Mus musculus: one gene and its partner. The protein of the gene in region 2 purifies or fractionates together with the protein of the main gene of each other region. This does not show direct contact. Links are inferred from orthologs where the notes say so. Each region holds a gene or a part of one and is shown on either strand. Other genes may lie near its edges.

What was found.
Region 1: the proteins of Psmc2 (region 2) and Ubqln1 purify together in Homo sapiens (affinity purification with western blotting; 3 studies listed by BioGRID, with this or other methods). This does not show direct contact. The link is inferred for Mus musculus from reciprocal best matches to the Homo sapiens genes PSMC2 and UBQLN1.

Annotation. Positions count from the first base shown.
Region 1 is NC_000079.6:58,197,724-58,203,166, forward strand, and holds part of Ubqln1 (ubiquilin-1), read right to left. Parts: intron 1,348-5,443; coding exon 1,196-1,347; intron 1-1,195. UniProt on the Homo sapiens protein: Plays an important role in the regulation of different protein degradation mechanisms and pathways including ubiquitin-proteasome system (UPS), autophagy and endoplasmic reticulum-associated protein degradation (ERAD) pathway.
Region 2 is NC_000071.6:21,799,239-21,804,681, reverse strand, and holds the end of Psmc2 (26S proteasome regulatory subunit 7), read right to left. Parts: intron 5,260-5,443; coding exon 5,128-5,259; intron 4,747-5,127; coding exon 4,674-4,746; intron 4,139-4,673; coding exon 4,043-4,138; intron 3,475-4,042; coding exon 3,310-3,474; intron 2,157-3,309; coding exon 2,069-2,156; intron 1,613-2,068; coding exon 1,410-1,612; intron 1,317-1,409; coding exon 1,220-1,316; intron 1,136-1,219; coding exon 978-1,135; 3' UTR 895-977; downstream 1-894.

The DNA of each region.
Region 1 (5,443 bases), on a different chromosome or scaffold from region 2:
TTTCAATAAGGACAAGGAGTGGAGCCAGCTTGTTCAGTTGGCCAGGGCTCTGACACTAACTACTGGGTGCCATCTTTAAAGTTCTTTAGAGCAGCAGGCTTTATTAGAGAAGTCTCTCTCATCTGACACCAATTTGATTATGAATCTTACCACATCATTTACTGATTCAAAGGTCTGGTTTTCACTTCAACATCTCAGAAATCATAATCTACCTTACACGTGCTTCACATCCCAGCATGAACCACCACGTCCGCATATGTGTGCTCTGTGCTATACCACTCTCATGCAAGAAGCTATCAAGTACACAGGAGCACAGGAAGAACACGCTTCCTCATCAGGTCTTAGGGGAACAGCACAAAGCCTGCTAGGGTATGCATGACCGAGAAGCTGCTCCTAGAGCAGATGCTACAGCAAGCTCTTGTAAGATACTCCACTGCAATGCTTTCAACTGCAGTCTATATATAGCAAAGGAAGCGTTGGCAGAACGTAAGACCGGCGGTTCTGAGTGAGTGCACCTGTGACCCCAGTGCTCAGGAGGCCAAGGCAGGAGGAGCAAATTCATCCCTGGCCTGGACTAGACTGACCTTCTGTCTCTAAAAGAAACCCAGTGTGGCAATACAGTCACAGACTCAGGCTAACCCCTGCTAGGCAGCATGGCAAGTCAAGGCTAGCCACAAAGGTAATACTAATAAAATGCTAAGTTTAGGAGGCTCCTGTCATTTACTCCATTACGTCATCTTAGATGATTTGTATAGGGGAATGAGATTAAGAAAATTCCAAATTCAAGTAAGTCTGACCAAGTTTCTTTACTAATGATGAAACAAAAATTTAGATGGTATCCAGAACAATAATAAGTTTCTTTCAAAAATTTATCACACATTAATGATTTATACTCTGCTAACATGTTACAGAAACCATGTCTAAAACTTTCCCTAAAGAAAACAGCTAAAAAACCAAGTTGTTACCTAACTCAAAATGTTCTACATAATAACCAGCTGAATTTTGCAAAGTATTAAATGGGGGTGGGCCCAGGATCTGCACCTCAACCCTCCCCACAGAACCATTCAGATACTAGGAAGGCATGGAGTCACAATGTTGTTTTTCACCAAACAACCAAGAGATACAAAGAAAGGTGCTTTAAATACTAACAAGGAACGCTCCTTAGAGCCTGAACTGGTTATGTAAACAGACATACCTGTTCTGTGTTTTGATGACAAGGTGAACCGTAAGTCCATCATGAATCCCATGCTGACTCAGAGTATCTTGATCTTTTAAAATTTTTCCAGCAAATATCAACACAAGTTGGTCAATATGAGATTTGAAACGTTTAGAGATTTCCTCTTTGAACTAAATAAAAGAATAAATTACATATGTTTTTAATAACATCGAAGTTTGTACAGTACCACCCAGACTGATTTGTAGAAGTTCTTCCAGAGGCCCTACTAAGCATGCTGCATCTCCCCCTCAGCGTGCAACCAACCATCCCGTCTCTAACAGGAAGGACTCACTCCACATGTCAGGGCTGTGGCTCCTGCACAGATGGAGACGACGCGGTGTTTGTTTCCTTCTTTTGCCAACAGGACCCAATGGAGTAGGGGTCACAAAGGGGCTTTGCTAAGCTTATTGTAACTGTCCCCCCAATCTCCATCGTTAGCCCCCTCTCTTTTGAATTCCAGTACACACACACTGGCAAGCTCACATTCGCAGCCATTTTTACTATCCTTATCACTTCTTTCATTCAATGCCTATTGCCAAGCAGTACCACCGAAAAGCAAGAAGGAAACAGGGAAATCTTTTCCAGAGACTCAAATAAATTATAAACAGAGAAAGCACAAAGACAGTTAAAGAAGGCTTTCCAGAACTGAAAACCAAAAGAAGAAATACTAGGAAGATATCAGGAGAACCTGGAGAACTGCCTGCAGGGGAGCAGAACGGCCTGCGAATGCAGAGGAAGAACAAGACACTGCAGACACGCTTACCATCCCTTAAGTCTCTACTAACTAGCCACGTATCCAGGCTTCATTCAAATTACCTCAGAGTGGCCTGGGAACCCACAGTAACAGACTACACCAGAGCACCACAGTTGAAACCTAGAGTCTCTTCATTACAAGTCTACCTACCCACTGCCACAATGAAACATGTTACACAGACATGAATCCAATGAAAAAGGCTCAGTGTTCCAGACTGGAAATACTTCTGGAAGCCGCTAAGTTGTCTTTAACATCAGTAAGTGACCCTAATTTAAAAATATCCCAAATCTAAAACGTGTCACATTGTCACGCAAAGGTCTCAGACTCAGATCACGTGGGAGAGGGAAACTCAGCATCTGCACATCTAAGGCTCAAAACTCTCACAGGAGCCTGACGTGGTGGCGCACGCCTTTACTCCCAGCACTCGGGAGGCAGAGGCAGGCGGATTTCTGAGTTCGAGGCCAGCCTGGTCTACAAAATGAGTTCCAGGACAGCCAGGGCTACACAGAGAAACCCTGTCTCGGGAGGAAACTGTCACAGGACCATCAGGAAGAGGCCAGTCAGAGAAAACACTGCTGCATGTTATAACCAAAGCATTCTGTACATTTATATATGAACGAAACCCTCAAGGTAAGTCTCAACACTGCGTATACACCTATCATTCTGTGTGGTTGGTTGGGTTCTGAGACAGGATGTCACTCTGTAGCAGAGAGTGACCTCAAACTCCCAGTGGAGCCTCCCCAGTCCTGGCATCACAGGTTTGAGCACATCACCCAACAACATGGATTTTACAACCTACCTTCTCAACTCATGCACACAAACAAACTTTTGAAAAGGCCAAAAAGCATATACATGTAAAATGTACTAAAGTAAATATTCTGGAACTTTCACATTTGAGCCCCACCCTCCCATTTGAAACTATATGTTATATAATCTTTTTGTTGATGGTGATTTTTTTGAGAAAGGTCTCTACATAGCCCTGGCTATCCTAGATCTCATTATGTAGACCAGGCTGGACTCAATCTCACAGAAATCCACCAGCTTCTGCAGGTAATTAAACAAGTGTGCCAACAGACTTGGCTATGTGATATATAATCTTTTTACCTAGATATTTCCAGGTGACTTAAAAAAAAAACAATCTTCACAAAACACCATTTATATTCTATAGCATTCTCTATGCAAAGAGCATAACTCAACCATCTGTTAGGTAGTTCCTAATATAAGAAAATATTTTTATAAGACTTAAATTACAATGCATAAAATACAAGCATCAAGCACAGTAGTGGTGGCCACTCTTGCTGCTCTCTCTATCCACAGGAACTCTATAAGGATGAATCTTTTTTTCAAACACAGAGAAAAGGAATTGAACACTTGGCCCCAAATGGTGTTAATAATAAATTGCTGAACTGGGTTTCCAGCATAGGTCTGATTTCAAGGCCAAACCGATACAGATCATACACAAAATAAATCAAGATATATTAACTAAATGTGAAACTTTTATTATAGGTTTATTATAATCAATAAAATACATGCTGGGCAGTGGTGGCACAAGCCTTTTATCCCAGCACTTGGGAGGCAGAGGTAGGCGGATCTCTGAGTTCGAGGTCAGCCTGGTCTATAGAGTGATTTCCAGGACAGCCAGGGCTACACAGAGAAACCACGTCTCAAAAAAACCAAAACAAATAAAATAAAATAAATAAAATGCATTTAATACGTAAAATGAGAAAGTTGATCTATATCAACTGTTTTAATCTTAAACTCAGAAAGGCCCTGATCTCCCTCACATTCTGAAGTAAATAACTGGCCACCATGGCTGGGCCATTGAGATAGCTCAGTGCATAAATGGGCTTGCTGCCAAGCCCAGCAACCTGAGATCTATCCCTGGAAACTTCATGGTAGCAGGAGAGAACTAGCCTTTGACTTCCACACGTGTATTGTGGTTCATGCATGGGCGCGCACAAACACACACACAAATAAACAAGTACAGTTCTATAGCACTTTATAGTTTGAAGATTTGAAGGTAAGATGCTAGACCTAAGGCACGCTCCTACTTTTGCCTCCAAATTCCAATACAAAAGGATGTTTTTAAGCTTCACCAGGCATTGTGACACAAACCTTTAATCTCACCTCAAGGGAAGCAGGGGCATGAAGCTCTCTGTGAGTTTGAGGCCACCCTGGTCTACCCAGGAAATTCCAAAACACCCAAAGCTACACAGTAAGACTCTGTGTCTTCAAATATATATAGCTCACATGCCATATAATATGGCCACTTGAAGTGTGTAATTCAAAAGTCTTCAGTGTATTTAGAAATAGGCTGCATTGCTAAGAGTCAATTTCAGAGAACATCCTCATTCTCAAAGAGAAACCAGTAACCGCTCTCACTTTCCTGTGCGCTCATTAATTCCATCCCCATTTCCCAAAAAGCCCCACTAATTTACATTTATGCCTATAAATTTGCTTATTTGGTACCACTCATTCATAGCCTTAACCTACTCAGCCGTCTAGGGTGGTCCTTGGTACTGACTTGATAGTGTATTTTCAGGGTACTGCACACTGAAGTTCCCAGAACAACAACAACAAAACCAAACAGTGTACCTGTACTTAATGACTATGGAAACTAAGACCACTGCAGACCAGAGACAAACTGTCTTAAAGTCTTAGTCTCTTTGAGTGTCATCACTCACGTCTCACTTCTGTGTCTAACCCAGTCTCACTGAATGGAAACTCTGGGACTGCATTAGGTTACTGTTCTCCTCCAGCCCAAACCCTAAGAAGCTGCCGGGCGGTGGTGGTGTCCATCTTTAATCCCAGCAGTTGGGTTTGAGGCCAGACCAGTCTACTGAGGAACTCGAGTTCCAGGACTATACAGAGAAACCCTGGGTTTGTTTTTGTTTTTTGTTTTGTTTTGTTTTTTGAGACAGAATTTCTCTGTGTAGCCCTGGCTGTTCTGGAACTCACTCTGTAGACCAGGCTGGCCTCGAACTCAGAAATCCACCTGCCTCTGCCTCCCAAGTGCTGGGATTAAAGGTGTGTGCCCCCACACCCGGCTGAGAAACCCTGTCTTGAAATCCAAAAAGAAACAAACAAATCCAAAAAGAAACCATTATATCTAAAAAAACATCTGATACAGCAATTTCCTCTCTTCACTGTACCCACCTATCTGTGATCTCGACCAATGTAACTGACAGAACTACTTTATTTTATACTGACACATCTTGTAACTACCTCCACAGCAGACCTTGCCTTTCAAGATACCCTCAGCACATGTTCCTGGGCCATAGTCAAGTTATATTTGGTCTGTGTTCTGCATCACCATTTCTTTCTATAGCTCCCTCATCTCTACAGCATCCCTGGTGACTGCTGGCATCCATTCATCTTACTTTCCTCCTAGCTGTACCAGAGGGAAGGCTGCCAGAGCCTCACCAACACAGCTTTGACCTGTATTCTCCTGACAACACAACGGTACTGTGCAC
Region 2 (5,443 bases):
GACTTTGGATCCCATTACAGATGGCTGTGGGCCACCATGTGGGTGCCTGGAATTGAACTCAGGACCTCTGGAAGAGCAGTCAGTGCTCGTAACAGCTGAACCATCTCTCCAGCCCAAAAATGAGTTTTTAAAAATTACACTCAACCACAAGGAGGCACAAGCCTTTAATCCAAGCACTTGGGAGGCAGAAACAAAGGCAGGCAGGTCTGAGTTCAAGACCAGCCTAATCTACATGGTGAGTTCCAAGTCAGCCAGGGCTCCTAGAAGGACCCTGCCTCAAAATACATCTAACCAATTAAAAGTAATTAAAGTAGAGGTGAGTTTAATCAGAATTTTACCATTAAGGAAGCAATTTTTCTCTAAATTTACACAATTCTGAATTTCCTAAATCCTCACATTTAACCCTCTTTACCTGCTGACATTTCACTGTTCATTAAAATCACCAATTCTAGACTGATTTGGAACTGGTCAAAAGGGAACGGACAATGAATGCTTCAACTTTAAAAACCATTCGGTCCACGCAGGGGGTATATTGTTCAGTGGTAGGGTGTTTGCCTAGCATTCAAAAACTCAGTGCGTGTACCACAAACAAAACAATCCAGTCTGGCCAAAACCTTACTTCAAAAACCCCTTACTATGGGAAAACCCCATCGTGATGCACATGCCACACACCATATGATATGAAACCCCGTTGAGATGCACGTGCCACACACCATATGAAGTGCTTTGATGGTAGCAGAGGTCAGAACGGGTAATGGAGCCTGACACGTGGACTTTCTGCACCTCCTAAGGATCTACGGTAGGCTAAGAGTACTTACATCAGTCCTCCAGAATAAGTGCGCTGGGACGCTGACTAACACTGCACAGCAGGGAACAGAGATCTGGAAGCACTGACACAGTTTTTAAATCTTTTATTTTTGTGCGGTGGCAACAAGTTACAAAAGCACAGGAAGTTCTTTCACTCAGAGCCCTGGGGCTCAATTGTATGTCATGTAGCGGGGAGTAGCGCTGAATTTGGCGTAAGACTTGATGACCTTATTTACAGCTTCTAAGAAGTCCTTCTCTGTAGCAATTTTTCTCCGTGCTCGGATTGCAAACATACCAGCTTCTGTGCAAACACTTCTAATCTCCGCTCCTGTCCGACAGAGAGAAAACACGACTGTTAATTACGGCAGCCCTGAAGACCGACGGGAAACCAGGGAGTCCGCCTGCCACTCACCAGTACTGTTTGGACACAGGCGGGCCAACAGCTCAAATCGAATGTCTCTTTCCACACTCATTGAGCGAGCGTGAATCTTAAAGATGTGCGTTCGACCCTAAAAATTAAGGAATTCACATATATTAAAATGAAAATGTATAAAAAGACAAAAGTTGAAGAATTTTTTTCTAAAATCAAATTCTGTTTTGACCTCTAAGTCAGGTAAGCTGAACTCAATCTTCCTGTCCAGCCTCCCCGGTCTCATGAGCGCTGGGTCCAGAGTGTCAGGGCGGTTAGTGGCCATGAGCACCTTGATGTTGCCGCGAGGATCAAAGCCATCCAGCTGATTGATGAGCTCCAGCATGGTTCTCTGCACTTCATTGTCACCCCCAGCGCCATCGTCAAACCGAGCCCCTGAGAAGAAGGCAGAGAAGCAGCTCATGTCCACTGCGAGCATCACCACTCAGGACCTGAAAATGCCACCCCTTGGCTCACAGCCTTCCCTTACAGCTAAGTGCACAACCTACTTTGAAGTTATAAAACTAATTGCAAAGCAAAATATTTCAAAGCAAAACAAAATGAAATGAAAAGCAGACAAAACCCAGTTTGTTTTGTGTTGGCCTAGGCCTGCCCTGGGTGAGGGTGATAGAAACTGTGACGCTCCACTGGAGAATAACGAGGGCTCCTTTCCCAGCAGGCACCAACTGCAAACTGCTTCATGGGAAGGGATGAGACCTTGTGTCCACTTTCCTTGCTCAGGGCTGGAATTTTGCCCAGTTTGAACATGGTAGAAAAGAATTGACTCCCATAGATTTGTCCTTTAACCACACACACTAAAAAGTAACTAAATCAATAAAATATCATTCATACCTCCAATGGCATCAATTTCATCAAAGAAAATAAGGCAGGCTTTTTTTGTCCTGGCCATTTCAAAAAGCTCACGAACCATTCGAGCTCCCTAATAAGAAAATTTGGTTATTACAGAGTTGGTTTCAAAATCTTTTAAATTATAATAAATATACTGCACACCTTTCCTAACAGCATTCTCAATCAGTATCACCTAAAGCTTTTTAAAAATACCTGAAGTTTGAGCCGGGCAGCGCGGCTCATGTCTTTAATTCCAGCACTCAAGAGGCAGAGGCAGGTGGATCTCTGAGTTCATGGCTGGCTTGGTAGAGAGAATTCCAGGACAGGCAGGGATAAACACAGAAACTCTGTCTCAAAACAAAACAACCCCGTGGTTTGCTACCTGTATTACCAAATTAATACTGCTAGCTTCAACACAGTATTCCATAACTTTCCTGACTACTAAACAGCACTAAGGTTCAGACAAGAAGGTGTGAAATTAACATTCTTTGTTTGTTTGTTTGTTTTTGTTTTTGGAGACAGGGTTTCTCTGTGTAGCCCTGGCTGACCTGGAACTCACTTTGTAGACCAGGCTGGCCTTGAACTCAGAAATCCACCTGCCTCTGCCTCCCGAGTGCTGGGATTGAAGGCGTGCGCCACCACGCCTGGCTTGAAATGAACATTCTTAAGTGAAGTAAGCCCAGCAAAACTTGAGTTAACAGAAGTATTTGATCTGTCACTTGGAACTACTCAACACTGAATTTGATTAAGCTTTGAACAAAATATTAAATTAAAATACATACTAGTCAGGTAGCCCTTCTGGTGATCCATAAGCATATTAGACAGTATGTTTTAGATATAATATATACAGCCCTAGTCTTTAACCTAAATATTTAGCTAGACAATGTGTATAGATACCCATGCTCAACATATAGACAACCCATGTTTTCTTTCTCTTTAAACCACAGAATACTGTCCCTAAGATAAAATTTTGTTTACCCAGCATTTCTGAGGTTTTTGTTTGTTTGTTTGTTTGTTTTACTTCACATACCAAAACTACACTAAACTCCATTCTTCTGGGGAGGAAACATTGCTCAAAAAATTTTAAAGTAGCCTACTTAAGAATTATTATTTTCAATTTAATTTTAATCTTATTACTTATTCACTTTACATCCAGCTCATTGGAATTAATGTCTAATTTTATGCAAATATCACATATCTCTCACAGAACAATAAATGCCGTTATTTTGACAAATTCACTTTACCTCGCCGACGTATTTCTGTACGAGCTCAGACCCAATAACTCGAATGAAGCAAGCATCAGTCCGATTGGCAACTGCCCTAGCACAGAGTGTCTTGCCTGTGCCTGGTGGCCCAAACAGCAGTACACCCTTTGGAGGCTCGATTCCAAGGTTAACAAACCTCTCTGGCTGTAACAGACACAAATTTTATACAATAAAGATAAAAAATAATATACAGAAACAATAATTTAGATCTATAATTTGTATGCTTGATCTAAAGTACTTTTACTTATTCTAAGGTATAATATCTAAACCAAAATCATATCAATATATCTAAATGACTTTTAAAAATGCTTTAATTATCCAGCCTTAACAACTTATTTTCACTTTAAAAATTATAGTGCCTAAGAAATCAATTTTCAGGTATGGCATGTTCCTATCCTCTAAGGCTTAACTTTTTTCTCTTCATGTCACTGAAACAACCATTTTCTTCTATATATAGCAACAGTAACATACTTAGATAGTACTATCGACCACTGCTAATTTCCTTTATCAATCTAAGTAACAGATCTGTCTGATAATACACCTGGCTACTCAATTCTTTTGCTTGCTCCCATCTGAAACTCACCATCTTTTCCCACCACCGCCGTGTCATAAGCTTTCATTAGCTGTGGGAACACAGGCAGTGCTAGCACTCACTGCATAGAAGGCTGTCAGGTCTTTACACAAAGTTGCTGCAAGACACTCAGCTACTTACATGGAGCAGAGGGGTTTCAACTACTTCTCGCAATTTCTCAATCTGTTCCTTACAGCCACCAACATCACTGTATGTGACGTCGGGTTTTTCCTCCACCTAGGAAAGAAAGATTATACAACATAGTCTTAGGCTTTTGAGTAGCAGACCAGATCCTCCACAGGAAACCTAATACCATAACAACCAGTCTGTAACAAGAATGTTCATAAAAAAGGAGTTAGAACTATTTAGTATAAGTTAGGAGATTAATTGCGGTGTCCTAGAACTATTTGTTGTGCTACATATTATGACATAAGTGACAATTACTGATAAAGACGTCTCAAAAATCCTTTTCATTTTTTGGTAACTTTTTAGGGCATAAGCTCCATTAACTGCTTAAAAGCTTCAAACTCTTTTGGAATAGATACAATTGCTTTTTTGTGGGGGGGGGGGGGCTTTGTTTGTTTTTATGAAATAGGCTTTTGCTTTGTAGCCCAGGCTAGCCTCAAGCTCACTATGTTGCCCAGGCTGCCTTTAGTTTGTGGCAATCCTTCTGCCTAAGCCTTCCAAATGCTGGTGTTATAGATGGGAGCACTATATGCCTGGCTTGCAATTATATTAAAGTCATGCCAGTCCCCTCCCCCAGGTTTCTTACCTGCATCATGGTAACTGTTGGGTCGATCTTAGGAGGTAGTGGAATGTGAATTTGGTATTTATTTCTGTCCACACTACAGAAGTAAAAATAAAAACAAAATAGATGCTCTTTAAGTTTTCAGAGGACTTTTTCTAGCTAGTGTTTAAGACCAAATTATAGGTAAGCAAAAGAGAAATTACGAAGAGGAAAGTTATAGAGTGACTTTTTAGGAAGTCTACAGGCATCCAGTCAGTCCTCATTAACTGTTCTCAGGCAGTGCTGCCTCCACCTTAGCTGAGCGTCCTTAACTGGGACACATCAAGCCATGTACAAGACAAAACGGTGGGAACAGGAAGGCTACGCTGCTGTGAGGCCAAGGAGCTCACAGAGGAGGAAAGCCTGGGGTTGCACCAGCCCTTAGTACTCTACGGCACTCTGTTTTCTCATTCAACATGAAGGCATGGTGCCAGCTTACCCGACTCTCATCCCTTCTTCAATGTCAGTGGGTGCCACCTGATCACTGAGATCCACCACGAACTTGGCAAACTGCTTCACATTGATGATGTATTTTGGGTCCTCCGAATCAGCGTTGATTATCTTCGTACATCTACCACAGCAAAAGGCTTCATGAGAGTAAGGAACCCAAACCACCAACGGTGAGGTCGTGTTAGCGGATCGCTCCCAGGGCAGGCAGGGCAATAAGGAACAAGTGCAGACCAAAACTGCAGACACAGGGCCACTGCTCAAGATCCTTCTGCCCAGCCCCCAGGGCCTCTCAGACTTAGGCCATA